Drosophila melanogaster: one gene and its partners. Changing the gene in region 2 together with the main gene of any one other region gives a genetic interaction. Each region holds a gene or a part of one and is shown on either strand. Other genes may lie near its edges. The genes, in order: para, Hk and eag.

Region 1 (7,534 bases), 6.3 Mb from region 2:
ATTGGATCGCCAGAACCACGTTTTCCAGTGTACTGCGACTGCTTCTTGCAGTCGGAATCCCTGCGATTTCTTGAGTTGCTGCCAAGGATTCTCAGCAGCAGCCCAGAAAAGTATGCTACCACCAGCGAAAAGATCGCGGAAATTTGCTTGTTTTTCCGTCTTCAAACAATTTTCCCTTTCACACCCAATTCTTTTTTTTTAATCCGATTTTATTTGGATTTGGATGTGTTATGTGTATGTGTGTGTGTGTATGTGTGGGAGAGTGTGTGTGTGTGTGTGGGAGAGTGTGTGTGTGTGGGAGAGTGTGTGTGTGTGTTTGTGAAATAGTGTCTGTGTGTTTGTGGGATAGTGTGTGTGTGTGTGTAGTTTGATCGAGATGTCGGCTCTTTTGGCGAAATTAGAACATGTTTAAAATCTACGTTTGCTTGATCATTTGGTTGTTGGTGCTCTGCAACAGTTGGATCTTGGAATTCGATTTAGTTTCTTATTTAGAGTTGCAGTGACTACGGATGCCCGCTTACTCCTTGAGTGCTTTACGCTTCCTTTTTTTTGGGGTAGGTTCCTTGTTCTTTAATGTGTCTTCCTCATCTTCGTTATTATCTAAATAAGACTTTTGGTTCTTCTTGGGACTAGCGGACAGCGGTGTGCTTTCCTTGTTGGTATCACCAGCGGCCCTTTCGTCGGTCTTCTCCTCGTCATCCTTCTCCTCGTCATCCTCCTCCTCCTCGCAATCCTTCATCTCCTTCTCGTCATCCTTCTCCTCCTCCTTCTTTTCCTCCTTATTCTCCTCCTTCTCCTCCTCCTCCTCCTCCTCCTTCTTTTCCTCCTCCTTCTTCCCCTTCTCCAACTTTTCCTCCTCCTCGGCCCCCAGGTCATCATCGGGCTGAGGATCGTCGGTCTTCTTGGCCGCGGCAGCAGCAGCTTTTTTGGCAGCCGCAACCCTACTCGGGCCTAAACCAAATTTACAGAAGATGGTAATGGCAACCGGCACCGCAATGGCCACTATGACAATGCCCCAGATCGCTCGATTGGCCCTAGCTAGCTCGACTACCTTATTCCCGAATGATTCACGATCGATGTAGAGACGCTTGATGTCGAAGCTGTTGGCAGCAAAGTCACGGGCCAACTCCACATCGTCCGTGATGATCAGGTTATCGAAGAGAATATCGCTGGACATGGACCACAGCTCCAGACCCACAGCGTTGATTGGCGTCATTTGGAAGGGCTTCAGATCCTCAAAGAAGTCTGGATTGGCTATCTTCCTGGGAGCCCACTTGCCCTGGTTGTTGGGGTTCTCGATCATTGGTGCACTCCACTTGCCCTTGTAGTTGGGATTGGGGATGAGCGGAGCCTTCCACTTGCCACAGCCGGGGGCCTTCTTGCACACTGGGTTCTCCACCAGAGGAGCCTCCCACTCGCCATCGATTTCGGAATTCCAATCTTCGGGTTCGATGGCAGTTGGATCGAAAATCATGTCGGGCTCATCCTCTAGCCAGCCATTTGGCATGACGGCATCGGTATCGGGCAGATGTGGTGGAGCATCCTCGTCCCAATCCTCGGGCTTGTGGGCATTGGGGTCTGGGATCTTCTTCCGCTCATCCCACGATTCTGGCTTGTGGTCATTGGGGTCATCTATCTCCGCCGGTGGGTTGACTGGTGGCACAAAGTCGGTCAGCAGGGAACCCTCTTTGATGATCTTGTGGTCTAAGCGAATCTCAAAGCTGTTATCGGGACGGACCACCAGCTGGTAGAGATGGGGTAGCTTGTCCGTGAATGGCACTCCCAAACGGGCATTTGGCTTTTTGCAGTGCTTTTCGGTGATGTTGCCATTTAATGGATTGACGTGCCGGAATATAAAGTGCATTTTCAAATTGTTGCCGCACTTGTCCGGACCAAACATGATGGTATAGGGTGTCTTGTCATTGAAGCGATTTAGTTGCTCCGTGCCTTTTCCGGCGGACAAAAGCTTCAGATACGAGCCGCCACAGTCCTGACCCTCCTGCAACGTAAGCTCGTACTGCACCACCAGCGGCTTGTTCGACTTGAAATCGAACGGCTGGCGAAAGGGGGCGGCTATGGCCGCATGCTTGGCCTTCGACTTGAGCACCAGACCCAGATCGTTTGCCCAAAAGATGCGTTGCGGAGACTCCCAGTTCCAGATGCCATCGTATTTGGCTATCTCATCGGCGATGTCGTTCTTCTTGGCCTGCGACAGTACCCATCTCTTTCGGGATGCCTCCACGTCGTCGAAGTGATCCGCAAAGTAAAACTTTTCGGCATCGATCACCGGACTCTTGTAGGCAAACTTCTCATCGCCATAGATGGCGCCGGGCTCTATCTGCACATCCTCCACAGAGTTTTCCGACTCCGGGGCCAAATAGCCGGTTTTGGCCGCACTCAGCAGCAACAAAATGGCGAAGAGCATTTTCCAAGCCATTTTCACACACTTTTCGCTTGCTCGCTTACTCAGAGTTGGAATAGATAAGGATTGACTGAATTGAGCCTTGCGTTTTTTTAATATAGCGACGTTCGAAGAAATTAACGATTTTTAACGATTTTTTGTGAAAAGTGGTTGACTTGACTGAACTGAGCCTTAATGCGTATGACTTTATTGACGCCGCTTGCTTGTTTGTATAAATTTTGGATTTGACTTACATAGATAGCTTAGTAATAGGTAATACGATTATGATTTTTAAAATGTAGATAATATTATAAGCACTTCATTTATTTGAAACGGTCTAACACTACCTTCTACCGCTACTACAGAAAATGTGAGAATTGAATCTAGATTCGGTTACGGATGTTCCTGCGGTCTTCGGATATTGGGCTTACATAAGCAGCCTCCGCTAAGGTCAAAGCACTCTTTTTCCATTTGCCAATCTGGCTGCGTGTGTGTATGTGTGAGCGCGCCAGTGTGTGTGCGTGTGTGTGTGTGTGTGTGTATCGAGCATAAAAGTAGGTCAGTTCGATATTTCGCCACACTCACACACACACGGAGGCATGAAGCATAGGGTAGCGTTCTCACACACACACAGAGTGGCAGTGGATGTGCCAATATGAGCATATATTTATGTGTGTCTGTTTCCATTCATGACACTCGCAAAATTCTGTTTGCCGAATTAATTTTTGGCCATTCGCTGGGTCGATGAGTCATGCGAAAAACCGCAAACAAGAATTGAAATAAAAAACAACCCGAGCCGGAATTTGTGTCAATATGCAAATGACACATGACAAACACATGAGCGAAACGCAAAACGTTTTCCTTAGCCAACCCAAGGTATCGATTTGGCAATATAACACAGAATATCTGCTACCCTATTAATTGTTGAACAAAATTCGATGGCAAGGAAAGGACTAAAAAACTAAAAAAAAAAACAAACAGAAACAGCAAAAAACTGAACGAAGTTAGCATGTTGTTAGTCAATGAATTTTGCATGGGAGAGCGCAATGGGCTGGCGAGAGAGCGAGGACTCTCACTCTCCTCCTGCCTGCGCCGAGAGAGCCAGTGCCCTCTCTCTTGCGCTCTCACTTCTCTGTGTGATGCCGCCAACAAACACGGACTACAACAATACATTTTTGGGTTCCCTTCTCTCTTAACGAACCTCCTTTCAATGTGTGCGTGAGCAAAGGAATTCCGTTAGAAACACCCCCCCCCCTCAACCTTCATCATTCATTTTTTTCTGCTCTGCTCTGCTCTGTTCTTTTTTTTTTTTTGTGGCAGCTGAAAGTTTGCCCTCCAAAAGCCAGCAAAAGGTTGTAGCCCAAAAGCAAAGGGGCGTGCCAGTGGGCGGGACAAAAAGGGGCGCAGATACCCCATTGATATGGTCTTGAGGTCGGGCCTGGTTAACTGGGATTTTCACCAAGGAGGCATGACATAATCGAGCCAAGTTCATCAAGTCGCCCACTGCTCCGTTCACACTTTTCTAGCTATTCAAATATTGAAATACATACGAAAGACACAATTGCTTTCTAAATTCTCATTTGACGTGCAGCGTAAATTGCCCTTTTTGGTATTCTATATTAAAATTGCAATCGATGGGAATACCAAATGTGGGTTTCTTAAAAACTTTCAATGAAAGTTGAACCATTGACCCAGTAAAATGTAGTTCTCTTTGACCAAAATGAAAAGTAAATTAATGACTTTGTTTTGAGCTGAGAAGTAAGTTAAGTAAGAGCTGAGAATTTCTAATATAACACATTGTTAGCCTGTTTGCTCTAACATAGATAACATAATTATTTTCAATACATTTCCACTATGTGTTAATTGTAAGAATTCATCATAAAAGTGGTTCTTTTAGACTCGAAAGATCGTTTAGTCTTAAGAATAAATCATTCAAGGTATCGGAAATAGTTGAAACTCAACAAATAAAAAATTTCACGATTTTTTTTCCTCTGTTTAGGGTTAAATATCATTAGCATAATTAAAAGTGCAATGAATGTGATAATAAAATACATATTAAATGGATTTTTTCGATTGCCTTCGATTACCTACCGTTAATCGATGTCTATCGATGTTGTGCCTGGCTGCTCGCTCTATCCGCTGATGTTGTTGTTGCTGTAGTTGCTATTGTGGTTGTTGTTGCTGTTGCTGCTTTTGTTGTGAGCGTGCTTGCTTGTATTGTTGTTGTTGCTGCTGCTGCTAAGAATTGTTGCTGCTGTTAACTACTGTTGTTGTTGTTGTGGTTGTGGCTCTGGCTGCTGCTGCTGTTGTTGTAGTTGTTGTTGTTGTGGCTCACACATTTACAGGCACCAACACACACGCGACGCACTCACACACATATGCATACATATACATAGATATATATATATATAAATATATATATATGTATATTTTATATATATATATATATTACGGAGACGAAGACGAATAAAGTTGAAGCGGTAGAACAAGTAGAAGATGAATTTGTTGTTTGTTTTGTTTTTTGGTTTTTTTGTTTGGTTTTTTTTTTATATTTGTATTTTTGTTTGCTTTTATTTGTTTTGGTTTTGTTTGTTAAATCTGCATTATCATTGGGTATTTGAATTGGTTTTTTTATTTAATTTTTTTGCGTGCTTAACAACAACCAAGACGTGTTGCCAGAAATTTTCATCAAACGTTGCGTTTTGTTCCCAGAGCTGTTTCAATTTATTATTTATAGTTAATGTTAATATTATTTGTTGTATTATTTCTACTAGTATCTGGCTACCTGGCTGGGATATTTAAATGAGTTTGCCTCGGCTTGGTTTCTCAACTGTTGCTATGATTATAATTGGTTTTCCGTATTATGACTAATAGTATTATTATTATTATTTGCAGATTTTATTTCGGTTTTAGTTTCAATTTCGTCAGCGTCGCCTGCGGAAAAGCGAACAAGTTGTTGAAACCCAGCTTAAATTGGAAAATTTGATGGGAAAACTCATTCACAAAAGGTGACAGAAATGTAAAAAAAATTGAAAAAAATATTATCGGAAGAAAAAATTTCGAATAATTTGTATGGCCCACTAAAAGCACCCCCTAGTATTGTTTGAATGGCTTGAAATTATTTTTTTTAATATTTATTTCTTTTTATATGTTAGATTTTCTGCTGTCCTTGTGCCAATTATGTGAATTATGTCGTTAGTTTATTTGATTCCTTCTACTAAACTTGTTATATTTCTTCAATAGATATTTAAAATGGGCTTGTAAATTGTATTCACACACTTGATGGCTTTCACTTAGACACACGAAAAAAAAAACGTAAAATGAGCACTCAATTGGCAGGATAATGTCTCACTGGATTGGATGCACTGTAAAAAAAAATGTCGAGGCAGCGAGTCGCGGCTTGTTTGTGTTTATGCAATTTTCGCGCGCACGTGAAACGCAGAGCAGTATTGAAAAAGGACACAAGGATGCGGAAAAAAGTCGAGCACTGAGCACTGAAAAAGTTCCTCCTCTCTGGGTAACTCCGTTTTCGGGCGAACCAGGCAGTTGTCCGCCGTTTCGCCGTGACTTCCTTTTATCCGAATTTGCCGCGAAAAGGAGCAGAAGCAGTTCGCGCGTGTGTGTGTTTGTGTGTGTGTGAGAAGTCCTTTTCGCCCTAAAGCATTTGCCATATATAACCACCCAAGTCGTTGTCAACACAGGTTTTGTTGTGCTACTTTGCCACCCTGTTTTTCGCTGCTTATCCTTTCGCCCTTCGCTATTCTCCGCCATTTGCCACATACTATTCGCCATCGCCGACTCTCATTTTTTTATTTGTCTTTGGTCACTTGTTCTATTTTTAGGTCATCAAGCTGATATTCCACGGCTCTGCTCTGCCCGAAAATTGCAACAGTGGGTCATTATTTTTGGGCGTTTGGCACCAGTTGGACTGGTCAAGTCAAGTCCGACTGCGTTCATAACTAATGTGGCCCGAGAATATGGAGCATCAGCTATAATCGCAAATCATGCTGACCCGCTTTTCGGGGCCCCCCATCTTGGACACCGACCAATCGATCCTATCCGAACTTTATCTAACCCAGCGGTGGCGGGGTCACCAAGTCACCAAGTCACCAGTCAGCCCACCCATTTGCACACATTAAGGAACTGCGTTCCTAATGTCCTTACAAATGGACAAGTACATACATATGTATAAACAAATTGAAAACAATGGAGTTTAACTGTGTGTGTGTGTGTGTGTGTCTTAACTGGATTGGGGTCACCAAAGCGCGCAGCTTTTGTGGGAGTTTGAGTAATAATGCTTTTAAATCAGGAAACTGTTTTCGAAGCGTTTAAGCTTGCTATAAATTTAACCTAATTGACTTCATTCTTAAGTGTGTAATACTATAAGTTTGGACTTATCATTTCCTGGCACTCAATAGTTGTACTCAATAGCGTACTTAGAAACCTTTAAATTGCCAATTTCTCTTTGGGACTAATGTTTATTTATCACAGTTTCATCCATAATGGGAGCCAATGATTTGGAATTCGTTTGGATCATGAACCTTGGCCTTGCTCCTAATTGAATTCGCAGTGAGGATCTTCGCGTAACATAAGACATTTGTCGCAGGTCGCATATGGATGGCAATATTACCGAGAGCACAATCTCCTTATTGGATTGCGTCCTGATTGCAAGCCCTTGGGATTCGCACAATGGAAGCCAAAGGCCAGAGCCTTGCACACATGCTATTCGACTTGCGTTTGCTGCTCGATGGCTGCTAGCTTGGTCTTTTGACCATTTGCACGTCACGTATTTAATAATTTATTTATGCATCAATTTGGGTTATGTAAATTTTTTACACCAAAAGCCAACAACAGGCAAAGGGCGAGCAAAGAACAACAATGGGGCTGGAAGCCAATTGAACACGCACAACCCAGGGGCAGATTGAACTGCGACTGCCATTTGGTGACTGGTGGTGCTCCGGCTGGGCTTCCGTCCCTCTCCATGGGATGCAATGGTATGGGGGTCCTGCGGAGCCTTCGCCCCGGGACAAGCTGGTGAGCACGATGGAAGGCTGGTGGCAGGCTGTTGGCCGAATGGCACCGGCCTAACCCGCTGGGCATTGGACGAGCCGCAAAGTTATTGTAACACCCATT
Region 2 (7,594 bases):
AAAAGTGCATCGAAACACTCTAAAAGCCCCATTATAAGCCACCCTTTTTTGATCGAAATAAATGGCCAAGGACTGCGGCTAATGCATTGGCTTGGGAACCGGGCTGGAACGAATCCAAATATTGCACAAATGGCGCCGGAGTAATAATGAATAATGTATAAGTGCAAAGAAGTCACTTGCCAAAGGCCATAACCAACACCCCCGGTCAGCTTTCAATGGATATAAGTGTTTAAATACACAGCCGCGCCGCGTTATGTGGGCCATATAAAATATGAATCTAACTGCATGGGAATATTAAATTACACTTTGCGCTCGGCAAGCAAAATTAATTCACAGAAGCCCGTAGCAATTAAAAGGCACTTACTCACGGCAATTGATTGCGTTTCGGATTTCGTTTTTGCACATAAATGTTGGATGATGTTACGGTTAGATGCCTCAATTTCGATCCGATTGCCGGAACAGCGGACTGCAGACTGCAGGCTGTGCCAAATCAAATATAATAAAACCCCGGTTCTCCCGGCTACAAACGGTCGGAAATGCACCTGTGCGCTGATGGGGTTTACCTGGCAGGTCGATTAATGACTTGGCCTTAATGAAAAATTAACCATTTTAATTTGAGGCCAACGCAGAAGCATGTTATTTGCTAATTTTCCCATCAAGCTTAAGGCGCGCAAAGTGCTCGCATAGTAATTACGTTAGAATAGAAACCGCGGCGTTTAAATCAAGTTACTGTAGAATTTCCATTAAAAATTAACCTGGATTGATTTCTTAATTAACCTGGAATGATTTCTTTTACGCTTTAACCTTTCATTTGTTTTCAACATATAACTAAATAGAAATATTGTATAGCATTCTGAATTTCTTGCTGGAATTGCAAACACAGATTTCATTTGAAATGCATTTATTTTGCGATGCACCTAGCCCACTGCACGTGGGCGCCATCTGTGGCATGCAAATGCAACTGCCTGCTGTATTACATGGCGTATACTTGATATGCCTCGCTTTTTACATGCCACTTACACGGATTCTACATGCAACTTTCGTAGCATACTTTTCAGGGTTAAGTGCACTACTCAGATTTGTTTCGAACTTTTCGCAAAAAGTTTCATTGAATGCCCTTTTGTTGTTATTTAATTGTATGAGTCATAAAAACAATTGTGCCACGAAAATCACTCATTTCACTTGGACGAGGTAAAAGCTTCTGGAAGAAGTCCAAGAAGAAAATAAAAAAAAACAAGGTGGCCTGACTTAATGCCGCGAAACGCAGTTCAAACAATGTAAGGAAAATGCAAATAATCCGATTCTGTATAATTGCACACTTTTGCCGAGAACACTTAATAAGATGCGACAGCGGATACATTTACATTTTCTGGGAAAACAGTTCGTGTTCATTTAAGTTACTTCTTTAATATGGCAATTTGTAGATACTTTTTATATCCTCTGCTAAAATTGTTACTCATTAAATACCTAAGCAAATGTATGCAAATATATATTAAGCAAAAGTGTTATTTTTTAATAAGTAAATCACTTTTCATCGAGTTCGTAGCTAGAGTCATGATTTTTCATTCTTCAGCACACACAATAAAATCGAACCATAAAATCGGTTTAATAGAGTGATACCCTTATCGCCTTATTTACTGCCTTTCCACGCTGACAATCCCGTCAATGAACCATATTCAGTTAAATTTCATAGGAATGGGGACATTTTACACGATGATGATCAAATTTAATACGCTCTTTTATTACATTACACTTTGTATGTGATGCTCGTCTGGCATTCATTGATTTTGGAGTGCGAAATCAGGCCACACAAGAATTTTGCTAGAACAAAGGACTTCAAAGTTGGACAATGGCTGCTTCGGACAATTTTTGACTTTTGCACAGCAGGGCAAGGGATTTTTGCTTTGTCGGTTTTGCCAACATAATAAAACTTGTTGGTGTAGTGTACAATTTAGTTGGCTTTTATATCAAACTTATATATATATATAATACATATATTTTGCGGCTAGTTGTTAGATTGTACTCACATGATGCGGTGGTAGGCATCGAGCTGGTTGTGCGCACAGGTCACGGACTGCTCAGATTCGGTGGAATCATCGCGCAGCGTTGCAACGCCGAGCGGCAGAATCGGTATGATCGCAGCTGTGGCAGCTGCGGCCGTTGCCGGCGGCCCCGCCAATGTCGCCGATTGTCCCGCTCCCGCTCCTGCTACTGCAACCGCTATCGCTGTCCCGCTTCCAGGTACCGCTGCTGACGCTCCTCTGCCCGCCCCGACTGCGCTGCCAGGGAAGGTCTGCTGTGTGGAGGATGATGATGTCGTACTATCGAGCTCCTGTTCAAAGTGAGTTCCCAAAGAAAGTATATTTAGCTAAGCGGCTCATCATTGAAAAGGTGGACAAAAGCGGTGTATCAAAGGATCTAAAATAGAGGGGTTCCTTGAGTTTCTTAAGCTACAAAGAAAACTATAACGTTTATTTAAAGAGTAAAGTGATCACCCAACCAATCATAAATGAAGATAGCTTATCAAAAACATTTATAAATTAATTCAATTGAACTAAATCTATAAAATAAATGAAATTCATGCCAATAGCAAAAGTTTGAAGGCTTTAACGGGCTCTTTTGTCCACCTTCCGGTCATGGAAAAGTTGCAGCTGGCAGGTGCGAAATGAAATGGATGGGTGGGCGTGGGTTCTAAAAAGGGGTTAAGGCAGTGGGGGTTTTAGTGGTGGTTAGTGATGAAAAACCTTGATCTCGCCGGTTTCCGGCTGCGAGAATCGCTTCCGCTCGTAAAGAATCTCCCGCTCGATGGAGCGACTCCGGAAGGCGGGGGGCAGCGATCGATCGGGGGGAGGTGTCTGCAACTTTGGGGTCACTGGTGTGTTGCTGCTGCCGCTGCCCGTTGACTGTTGTTGCTGCTGCTGTTGCTGCTGCTGCAGATGCTGTTGCTGCAGATGCAAATGCTGCCGCTGCTGTTGCTGCTGCGAATGCGAATGTGTCTGGTGGGCGGCGGCTGCGGTGGACGAGGTGGGCGGACTTTTCTCGCTGGACTGCTGCTGATCGCGATGCTGCTGCTGCAGATGCTCGCGGTGCTGCTGCAGTTGTTGCTGCTGCTGGCGCTGCTGCTGCTGCTCGTCCCGCTTCTGCTGGCGGCGTATCTCAAAGTCCAGCAGACGGGCCTCGCGTTGCTCCTTGTCGCGCTGTTTGCATGCAATTGTCGCAAAGTGCATTCTTACTATCAGGTTTAATGGATTATCGCATGGCCATCGTTATTATTGCTGTTGCATTTTCAATTACTGCTTCATTTGGATTTGCTTTCTTTTCTTATCTATACTTTTTTTTATAATTTTTCTTGGTACTCTTTTCTTTTTCTTTTTTTCTTTTGAGGGATTACATTGGCTTTATCAAATTGTTAATTTGTTTGCACGCGCGGTAGACACACACACGCACACCGAATTGGCCGCGACAGAAAGAGATAGGGAGAAGGCAGACAGAGAGAGGCACACACACACACACTCACCTTGTAGTTGATAGCGTCCTGCTCTTCCTTTTTCGCCTCGCGCTCGTTTCGCTGTCGATCGCGTTGCTTCTCTTCGTCGGTCTGCGAGTTCTTGCTGTCTATATAATTTAAGGAAAGTATTAAAAAATGATTAACAAATAAGGGAAATAATAGTAAATCAATCAAAAAAAATTCAAGTTAAATGGATCAACGTTAAAGAACATATCAAAATATATTTAAATCAAAGGATAGATTAAAACATGACAGAGAAAATGTAGAAACATAAATGTTAGAAATATATGAAAAACATAGAAATAATCCAAGAAATCCATAAGAATAGAAAGAGAGAGAGAGAGAGAGAGAGACGGGGGAGAAAAAGAGGCCATGTTCAAACTGTTTCAATCGATTCTCATTATTGTATTTCAATTTGCAATTATTTTACTGTCATCCTCTACTCAAGCACTAAGCATGCAAGTTGAAAAGTTCTAAATGGTCGGATAAAACAACTTGCAGCATGCACATCTACAGCTCGCACTCTTATACACACGCACACACACGCTCTCAACTACAAATATATGTCTTTATATATAAATATATATATATATATATACACAGTTCAAGGCCACGCCCCCCTACTTACGCTGCTCCCCATCGCGCCCACCACGCACTGCCATCAAATAGCGACTCAGCCGAGGCGGTGTCATACTAATTCGCACCTTTCGACAGGTGAAAAGCCCACACGGAATCAACAGTCGTCAGTTGCGGCCGAAGAGCCAGGCGAAACTGACACTGAGCACCAACATGCGGCCCACTAAAAACATAAAGCTAAACACTGAACCCAAAACACTAAACACAACCAAAGTTGACCGCGGCCCAATTAGTGTCATCTTCTCGGGAGGATTAATGCCCAGCTGCGAGTGTTCGCGGCAACCAGACAGATATGCATTTTGCGGTAGTGTGACCAAGTCACGCACGTAATTTGGAATTGCGGTGGGCACACTGATTGCATTAAAGTTAATTCACAGTCAATATCAATTTCAATATCTACACATCAACACGATTGCCATTTGTTTGCATTTTTGTATTTCTCACGTTCGTTAATTATTTGACTTATTTAAATTGGTGTTTTTTTCCTCTTTTTATTATTTTTTCGGAGCATTCCCACTTTGAGGAGCGGCCTCTACTCGACTAACACTCAACATTTGGTTTGCTGCCGTCGTTTTGCTTGCCTCGTACATTTATGCTTCCCATGAATATTTGAGCTTTGAGCTTTGGCCTTGGCTTCAACCGATTCAACCCACCACAAGAGCACAAGAGTTCACCAAGTGCGTCACAAGCGGTGAGTAAACACTTATTTGAGTCACTGTGTTGTGGTGGATTAAAATTGATCATAGGAAAGTTGTAATTGCAAGCGAATTTTTTAAGTTATATTTAAAGCCATTTTTCACTTATTATTTTTCACTTATTTACCTGTGTGTGTATAAAACATCATTTTCTATGCAAAACGAAGAAAACCGGTTTACTTTCCATAGCATATGTATATACTTTTTAGCCCCAAGCCTTGGCAAATACTCAAATTGCCGTTACACAGTTTACTCATTTTATATTCTAGTTATCTGTTTAACCTTTTCGCAAGCTTCAAGCGTATGCAATTATCTTGTTCTACCCTTTTGATGACTTCAAAGAGGCCCGAGTGCCGCTAGTTGAGCGCCACAAGCTTACACCTGGCCCACCTTTGACCCCGTTCCATTCACAAACTACTTGCACACATACACACAGACGCATCAGGGTCTTCATTTTGTAGTATCATCATCGTAGTGTCATTATTATTATCATCATCAAAGCTCTACGAAAAATGCGAAAACAAAAACTAACCGAAAAATGTAAGACAACTAAGGGGAAACAAGGAACGTGGAACGAAACGAACTACACGTAACGTAACGGAACAACCAACGGAACGGAACAGCGGAATAACGGAACTCGCTATGTAGAGGGGGGGGGGGGGGGGGGCTTATTGTAGTTGGTTTCATTTGGTCTATGGGGTTTCTAATGGGAATCTGTTTGTGGCCTAATGGTTTCTATTTCCATTAAGCCAACACTACGAGACCAGAGAGAGACAAAGACAGAGAGAGAGAGAGAGAGAGACGGAGAGAGGCGGGTTGTGTGAGACAGAAAGAGAAAGAAATTCTTCCTTACCTCAATGTGTTTTTTTTCTGATGTTGTACTTGTGGTGATGATGTTGTTCTTGTTGTGTCGAATTTGATTTTGATTATATTTTAGTAACGATTCTTGTCGAATTTGGCAATTGATTACACGCGATCGCGACGCGTACCGAAACGATTGGAATGGTATTAGTACCGTTAGGTGAGTGCGGTGTGTCTGAGTGTGTCTTTTAAGAAAGAGATAGACATATAGGCAGATAGAAAGAGAGGAGAGACTGAAAGGGAGAGATCTCCGTTTTCGATTTAATTCTGTATTTTCTTATTTTTGTATTCTTTCGCTTGTAATTCGTATTTGTTAGACGTGATTCCTTAGTTTTATGATTCCTTTTTTTATTGTGTGTTGAACATAGAAGACAATACAATCAAAGAAGAGCAAAGAAAAGAAGTACAACAAATAAATCTTCAATTATTTCGTACTTAAATCGGAACTAAATCTTATGTTTATTGATTGGGGAGAGCCAATAGACATTGTTTTTTAGTATTTTAATACAATAAAAGAATTTTGGCTAGCCCCAAAATAAAATCTATTTGTATGGACTATCGAATGATAGAAAACCAAGGAAAATAAGGGATTATTATCCTCGAATTTATCCTTTAAGCCGGATTACCTCTCTCTTTGGCTCTGGTTTTCTGGGCCTTGACTACAGTTACGCTATATTATAATATATTTGGTATGTGGCAAAATATATGGTTATACCCATGTAACATTAAGAAAAGAAGGAATTGGTTATCATCGACTATATATGTAAAGAGAGATATACTTTATGTGGCTTTCACATCTAAGAGGAGTCACTTAACAAACGTACCACATACAGACATACGTACAGACAAGATACATATATATGTTAAATACAGATAGATATACAGAGAGAGGACTCACAGGATGGCCTAGTCATACAAAAAAGAAGTGGAACCAAAGAACAAACGATAATCGCACTCCCTATAGACTATACACGGGCTATATATGAATGTATTATCATCGCTTTCGGTTATATCGATCAATTAGATTACATAGACATCGAGGGACGAACAACACAAACGAAGTGGGAATCGGTTTTGTTTGTTTTTTCTTTTTTTTTCGTTTTTTTTGGGGGTGGGGTGGTGGTTAGGGATGGGAAGTATTACGAATAGTAATAGTGGAGGGTCCAAGGTGCTGCCCCGCATGCGCAACCCGTAAGACTCACTTGAGGAACCGCCGCCAGCGCCCGGTGGCGGGTAGGAGAACCAAAATTGATGGGCCAGTTTGGAGTGGGGCCCAACCGAGGGGCTGTCTGGAAAGAGGACGTGGTATAGGTTAGTCAGGGTCCCATATGCAGGGCTCAATGGGGGAGGATCAAACGGATTTGGCACCAATAAAGGTGTTTAAAAGTATGCAATATCTTTAGACCTTTGTTAAAGTCTGCTATCTCTTTAATCATTTCTTTTGAAAAGTTCAAATCTCCGTGATCCTCCATAACCGAAACCTATCGCAATCCGATTCCACGGTGGAATACTCACCGATAAACAAGTCCTGTTGCTTGCGCTTGTGTGCGTGAGCCTGTGGAAGGACCTCAGTGGTTTTTCAGTTGTCCAGTTATCCAGTTGAACTGTTTTTCCAGTCTATGACCAGGCACGTGCGTTGAATTGAGTGAGGCTGGGTCCGACTGGGGATGGATGGTTCCAATGGTACTGCCAGATGGCCAGATATCCAGTTAGCCAAATAGAGAAGCGCCTAGGGCGTGTCAGTGGTTCATTTCGGCGCTTGGGGAATTTACCGAGCAACACGGCGATGGTCACCCGCTGGCCCAATGGTTTACTAATGGGAGCCGGAAAAAACACACAACAAACAAATTAGAGTCGTACGCAAATTGGGGCCATCAACTTACTGACTTGTAGT
Region 3 (7,622 bases), 4.7 Mb from region 2:
TTTTCAAGAAGAACAAAAATACTTCGCTTTGCCATTTTCAGGCTATGTTTTTTCCTTGGAAGCTGGCTACGGATTTCGGTTCCAATTTTATGGCGACAGGACGGCGTGCCCATTTGCCCCAATGACTGCCAAACTGTGGCCACATTTTACATATGTAATTGTCTATCCACCCAAAGCCCCCAACCCCTGGGCACCTGCCAACTGCCTTGGCGGGATGGGGCCGGGGGTGCGTAGCACAGCACCGCTTTGATAGCCAGTGGAATGTTAATAAACTTGTTTTGATACGACAGACAGCCAAATCTCGGGCACAAGGTCAACGAGGACAAGGACGCGGGGAGCGAGTTTTCCGAGTCCTGCGAGCAGCTGCCAGCAAAGAAGCCGCAGCCAAAAGCCAAGCTAACCAGTCTGACAATCTGACAATCTGACAGGAAGTCAGCAGGTGGTCCAACTGGTCTGGCTTCACTGTACATATATATAAGCGATAAGTGCCGCACTGCCTGCGCAACGAAACCTCAGTAGAAAAATATGGCGGGACCTGCCACGAAGCTTCTGGATAAATATTAAGCCATGAGGCTTAACTTTATTTTTATACACTGTTCAATAAAAAACATAAATAATATCTAAAACTATATACAAGCAATTGGAATAGATGTAATTGGTGAAATATGATTTGCTTCGAAAAATAAATGAGCCAATCGAAGCAGCAAATCATTTATGAATTACCGCATTTCCGCTCAGTGTAGATAAGCGATAATGCAGTTAGTTGAAGAGCAGGGTGCGCAGGGGAAGTGCAGCAGCATCCGGAAACGGAAGCGACGGCAAGGCAACACGGATGCCAGCGGATGTCAAACATTAAACACTTGCGGAGGGTCAGGGAAAGAATAAAATATAAAAAGTGACGGGTGGCAGTTAGGCATTTAACATATTCTATGGAAATCCGCTGGCAAACCATTCAAATGCTCGTGCACAGTACGTAATGCTTTAAATTTGCAAATCTGTTTAAAGGCTTATTGGTGCCGCTTGATTGATTAGGCAGGATATTCCTAGGGCCTTTCCCTTCCACAACACTTACACTTCATTAACTTTTGGGTAATAAAAGTGGGAGCTAGGGAAAAGACACTGATAGAAATTGGAGATTCTAGATAATTTCGATATTTAACTGAATTGTATGAAAATTGTATGTAAATTAAATATTGATCATAATGAGTTTGCAAAATAAATCGCTTAGAATATATGTATATTTAATTTTATTCCGTTAAAGGCTGCATATTTTGCGTTCAGTGCACAAATAGGACTATATGTATGTGTGGCGAATCTAATTTACGATTTGTGCTATTAAATATGCGCAAAGTAAAATTGAAAATTACAAAGAACGTGAAAATGCGAAAACATGGGAAAATGGGAACAGTCGGCGCTAAAAGTCAACTGCCAAAAGTGTACAAAAGATTTATAAACAAGATATATACACATACACACTGGCCATATACATATGTGCGTGTGTGTGTGTGTGGGTATTGCTTCTTGTTCTTTTTATTTTATTTTATTTATTTTATGTTGACAGCAAATTGCGGCGCCCGTCAGCTTGGACTTTTCCTGTGCTATTCCCGTTATTCTTGTTATTTTTGTCATTTGTGTTGTTGTGGTTGCTGGTACATTTTTAATGTTTTGGCTCTTTTCATTTGGCCCACAAACACACACGCACGCTCAGGCACACACACACACACACACACTTGTAGCCACACATGCGTGACAAAATTGTTGGGCTCTTCTCGTGAATTTGGTTGTTCTTTTATTTTCTCCTGGCTGTGGGTTTTTCGCGTTTTCTTCGGCGGGCGGAAAACTTGCTCTCAAGATTTACTCGGCATTTCTGTGCTGGTGCCATTTGGCATTGTTTGCATACTTCCAGGCGCAAAAAGTGGGCCGACCCATTCAATTTTCCCCCTCTCCGTCTCGCTCTGTTTATCGCCCCCTCTCCTTTCGGCATCAAATGCTTTAAATATTTAAGTAGTTTCACCCGTTTCCTGTTGCTGTGACTCACAGTATGTGTGTGTCTGTGAGAGTATACATATGTAAGTGTGTGCGTTTGGGAGCGTTTGTAATGTTGCGCCTGTGTGGGTGTAAAGGGCATCAATATCAATCTTGTACGGATGTCAACTAACGCAGGCCACCCACATTTGCACTCTTTTTCACCTTTACATTGAAACTTTTATCACTTAAACATATACGAATCGAATATACCCTTTTGCTCTGCGAGCACCGGAAATACAATACAAATACTCCTTCAAATTCAGTTGGCAGCAAAGTTAAATTCGTATTGCATAGGCGCACTGCATATCTGAAATTCGTAAAAACTATATTTATAGCACACTTATTTGGTGTTCTGCTCAAGGACCGTTTTCTTTTTCTCACTGCAGCTAGATTAAGTTGCCACATGGGCATAAGTGCACTGATTAAATAATACAGACTTCATTTTCCCACAAAAATAAACGTATTTTGTTGTCTTTTGAACTTCTGAGCGCAATTACTGTCAAACTGTAAGCGTGTGTTGCGTTTGACACTTATGCAACCGCAAAGTGCGTTGTGTGTGCGTGTGTGTGAGTGCTTGTGTGTTGGTTGCACTTGAAAAACAAGCAATTGATGTAGTTGCTAAAACTTTTTTCGCTTTATTTGCTTGCTGACATAATTGCGCATTTCATTTTCTGTTGGCTGACACACATTCAATGACGGGGAGTAGGAAATAGCTGGAAAAACATCAAGAAATTAAGAAAACAATAAGGAACCAGCGCAAAACTGAATAAATAAATAATGAAAAAACGAAGCATGAATCGACGGAAAACCAAGAGCACGCAAATTTAACTTATTATGTTCCATTTTTCCACGACTCCGACTCCTGGCTCCCTGCTCATTTCAATTTTCTTTGCTTTTCCTTACATTTTCTTTCGGGCAAAACTTCGCCGTTCGCGCTGTCTCTTTTGCGCCGCCAGGAAAAAGTTTTAGCGCCGACAGCGACGCCGGCAGAACGACAAAAGACAACAATTACAATTAGAAGTGTGTTTATGCCGCCTTCTCGCTCACTCTTCCCCTTTCGCTAGCTTCCTTTTCTATATATTATTTCATTTTATTTTTTTCCCCATTTCTTTGCGGCAAGTAAAAGAAATTCAAGTTTATTACACAATATTTCGTCCTAGCCTTTTGTGATTACCTTTTGTTGCTTTTTGTTGTTTGTTTAGTTGCTTTTTGATTGCTTTTAAATGGTGGTTAAATATATATACATATATGTATATATATGTTTAATATATATATAAGTATGTTTATTTTTAGTGTTATTCCGCTGATTCCGATACTTTCTTTGATTCCGATTCTTCACTGGTTTTCGCTGGATTCTTCAATTCTTTTCAATTTTTCCTGCCTTCGCCGTATTTGCGATGTGATTATTCTGCAACGCGTTCTTCGCGTTTCACTTTGCACTGCAGTTGAGCAGCGTAGGTGAAGGTGGTGGTGGAGGAGGACAAGAAGAAGAAACAACAATTAACGGGACACGAAGAAGCACACAACAAACAAGAAAGAACATGAAACGAGAAACGCGTAGGATCAGCAGCGTGCAACAATTGCCGACTGCGACGCCTACTGCGACGTCGACACGTGCGCGGCGCCCCCACTTCCCCCTTCCATAAATCCCCTCTCGCCACACCACCACCCCCTCCCACCGTTTACACTGTTGTAATTTTCAAAATATTTCAGGCGAAAAAAAAATAAAAAAAAATCGTATTCGATTGGCGCACACAAAATGCTGGATTTATTTGCTGGATTTTCGAACTGGAGGACGAATCCCGGATTCTGAGGACCGCTCGACGCGAGAGTTGCGTCTTCATAGTTTTTCGCGACTACGCACCTAAAAGTCGACTACGAGTGAGTTGCGCGCTGCTAGAGCTGGGAAAACATCGATGTCGCTGCCGATTGTACCGTTACTTTCACATTGACAATCATCGATGGTGTGCAGCGTTCTACCCACCCGCTAGGTGGCGCTACTCACGTTAGTATCGATATATCAGCACGTATGGCAAAAACGGTTAAATGGCAAAGAAACACGATTCCTATCGATTTTCAAATAAATAAACTGGGCGAATTTAAAGAGCTCCATTCACTGGAAAAATGATATAGTCGTCAGAGAGAGTAGTTGGCCACGTTTTAATGATCTAATCTTTTCCATTTTTTATTCGTCACCCTTCAGTCAGTCAGTCAGTCCATTTCCCTTTGCACCAAAATTTTGTACTCATTTTTCAGGCATCTTTTGTGATTGAAAATTGATTTGTACAAACTTTAGCTGAGTTCGCCATGTATACCAAAAGGTGTCTCAGTGATGTGCTATGCTACATTGCGCACAGGTATATGGATATACCCTTACCCACCTGCAGAACATACTCCATCTGGAAGTTCCCGCCTAATTTCGATGCGAACAATCAGCGTGCAGGCAGATTGTTTTGGTTCTCCGAGCAGATATTCCCCCTCATGTTCTACTATGCTCTGGGCATTAGTATCATTGGATCGGTGCGTATATGCAAATTGCTTTATATTTCAGATGTGCATTTATTACACCTATCTCAACACAGACTCACAATTGTCTAGAATTCATAAGCATTTTGTTCAAGAAGGCGCATCTGAAGAAGTCGCATCGGCTAAGGAAGGTAAAGAATTTCAAATACAAGCAATTGCGCCGCTTTCGTATCATCGGATGCATTTTAATGTTAACGGCGTGGACAATACTGCTATACGCCTTGGCCACCGTGAGTACTAAAAATATCATATACAAAAAAAAAAAAAACGATATCTATTCAAAAACTTCTTTGAATTCCATTAATATATTGTAAACATTATTTGAATCCAGCTCAAGCCGCATTACATTGGTCCATGGTTTGTGATTTATGCCACCATTACATCCATCGATATATTATTGGTGCTGTCAGATGCCTTAGTGAACAGGACTATAGGCAACGGCTTCTTGTTCAAGACTTTGATCCCGGTTATCAACTTGTACTGTGTCCTTTCTGTGCGGTCGACTCTCAGGCAACTGATCGAATTTTACGGTTATCAGGATGTTGTTTGGTGGTCAATGGAAAGATATGCCCCATAAATTGTCAAAATAAGTGAAAATAATATTTAACTACATTTTACGTCGTACTGTATTTTTCTCATATTAACAAAATGTAATAAAAAAAATTAATTATTTAACAAAAACAGCGCCACCTGGATGTTGTGCCGAGTAATGGCAATTGACCAACAGGTAGCGCACATGTGCAACATTGTTATTAACGCTTCAATTGTTATAAAGCTTTTGGTTTTTAAGCTTTATGGATCACATTTTATCCTAAAGAACAACTTAGGCTTAGAGGAACTTAATAAATAGATCTGTTTTAAATAGGAATTGAAAGCTTCTTTTTGAGGTTAAAAAACCCATTTAATAATATGTAATGATTAATATTGGTACTAAACATGATTTTAGGAATCATGAAATATGACAAAATGTAATACTGTCACTTTCTATCTATCTATTAAATATTTGTTATAAAATAAAAATAAAAATATAGAATTAAAAAAAAAATGGCTAAATAACCATTACTGATGTCTAAACCCACCCCCGCAAGCAGCGTGTTCGCTCACCATCTACCTCTCTTTTCAAGAGAGCACGTTGCAAAGACGTTCAGACCCGCCACCTCCGCGCTCCACGGCACCCTTTTTTTAGGACAGAGCATCAAGTTGGTGGCAGTTCCCCAGCGAACACTGAGCACAACAGATTACCGAATTAGTGCGCAGGTGTTTGCGTGAGTGATAGACGAAAAACTGTAACCTGTGGCAAATCCCCCCACTAAAAACTGATAAAACAACTGAAAAGGCTGTTGGGTTCACCTCTGAAATCTAAATCCCACCCATAACCAAGCTCGAAAATAGCCAAGATAAACAAGTTGGAGCTGCAGCAAATGAAAAGAAAAACAGACGTATAATAATAAAACAAAAAAGCAACGAAAAACGAAGCCAAAAACTCACATGCAACCGTCTTAATGAAGTTGAGAAAAACTGGTTTGCTGAGATAAACATTTTGGAGTTTGTTTTGGTCCCGCTTTCAACGGTCATAAGGGGAAGGGGGCTGAGCCAGGGTCCAAAGTTCAACACAAAACAGCACCAAGAAAGTACGACGACTCGTTTGCGCGAAACGCACACATTTTGCATGCTCCCGCACAGGCTAGTTCGAACTTTTAGCATATCCAACATCTGTACGCAAAATATCATAAAATCTTCTCTTGGCATTACACAGAAATTACTTATTGATCGTTGGGCTTCTTTATAAGTCTCAAGAGAAAGTTGAGACAAACGAAGTCAGTATCTTTTATTATTTACATAAGTAGATCTTATCATTTAGTTTTTAAAATAACCTTTAAAGCCCCACGTAGTTCTTTACGCTTTATTTAAAAAAAAAAATGATCCGAAACGTTAACATTTCGAAGATCTCTATCATAGAAACATGATTTATATTTAAGACTGGTTATACCAAACTTAACAGATAATACATTAGTGATCCATTATAGCACGTTTACTAATTTAATTAGCCATTATACTTTCAATATTCACAATTAATAAGCCTGTGGTGCTATAATTGTGAGCTCAACTGTAGATGTGGGCGGGGGGCAGAGCAAGAGCGAGATATAGTGTGTGTGGTGCATTAAAAATGCTGTTTGAAATGTTATGCGAATAAAAAAAGCACATTACATGCGAGTGTACATAAGATAAGTTCGAAATGCAATCAACTATTGAATAACAAGTATCCCACATCTATATAATACCAAACTATATGCTATACTGTATAAAACTGGATATCAGGCCCACTGTAACTCTCTCCTTTTCATTTAATTTCTCTCAATGCAAATGCAACTGTAACGCGATCGATGTAAGAGAAAGAGAGCACTCATTTGCATAGAGCTCGCTTTGCAAGAGTGTTTGAGTGGTCGAGGGAGGAGAAAGGTAGAGGGCCTCTTTTTTGGCCTTGAGTTCCGCTTACGTTGCATACATGAGATATATGTATGTACATATATATTTATAAAAAACCGTGAATAGCATTGCCGTCTCACAAGTGTCCATTTCAAACGCAGAATTTTCCCCAGCTGGTGAAACGTGTGGCAACAGAGTGTTGAGTTTACCAAGAGGGTGAATGCACTGGTTAATGTTTAAGTTTTAGTTCCAGAAAGGAAGTGCAATGCTATTGAAAACATCAGGTTTAAATTACCCTTCAAGGTCATTTATTTCTGCACCAGATATTCCACTTCTACCAAAATCTGGATGATGCTCCAAGAAGCTATTATCACCCTAAAGAAATGTCTTTTTAGGGGGTAAGCGGAAAATGTACCCACCTTCATAAGAAATAGGTACTTATTAAATAAGCTAAAACATTCATAACAAACTATTATTTTCCATCTGGCCAGCAAATAATGTGCAAACCTCTACTCTATGAGTAAATGGAATCCGATTCATTGCAGTTCAGGTGTTCCAACGGGATTAGCGGTTCTTGAGTCAGTGTTCAAGGTTCAACGCCATACTAACATATCGACGGCTTCATCGACGGCTCGCCATAC

What was found.
Region 1: of Hk (region 2) and para, changing one suppresses a phenotype caused by changing the other (phenotypic suppression), as found in Drosophila melanogaster (one study listed by BioGRID).
Region 3: of Hk (region 2) and eag, changing one enhances a phenotype caused by changing the other (phenotypic enhancement), as found in Drosophila melanogaster (one study listed by BioGRID).

Annotation. Positions count from the first base shown.
Region 1 is NC_004354.4:16,522,785-16,530,318, forward strand, and holds the start of para (paralytic), read right to left. Parts: upstream 4,631-7,534; 5' UTR 4,493-4,630; intron 2,632-4,492; exon of another isoform or gene 2,438-2,631; coding exon of another isoform or gene 518-2,437; exon of another isoform or gene 183-517; intron 1-182. Other genes in the region: Cnx14D (calnexin 14D), read right to left, coding at 518-2,437. UniProt on the Drosophila melanogaster protein: Mediates the voltage-dependent sodium ion permeability of excitable membranes.
Region 2 is NC_004354.4:10,251,976-10,259,569, forward strand, and holds the start of Hk (hyperkinetic), read right to left. Parts: upstream 4,694-7,594; 5' UTR 4,201-4,693; coding exon 4,137-4,200; intron 3,616-4,136; coding exon 3,518-3,615; intron 3,198-3,517; coding exon 2,745-3,197; intron 2,333-2,744; coding exon 2,028-2,332; intron 1-2,027.
Region 3 is NC_004354.4:14,951,710-14,959,331, reverse strand, and holds the start of eag (ether a go-go), read right to left. Parts: upstream 3,856-7,622; 5' UTR 3,783-3,855; intron 3,468-3,782; 5' UTR 3,203-3,467; intron 1-3,202. Other genes in the region: CG9030 (uncharacterized protein), read left to right, coding at 4,336-4,548, 4,611-4,784, 4,886-5,131. UniProt on the Drosophila melanogaster protein: Structural component of a potassium channel. Mediates the potassium permeability of membranes; potassium current is regulated by CaMKII and CASK. Has a role in growth of the perineurial glial layer of the larval peripheral nerve.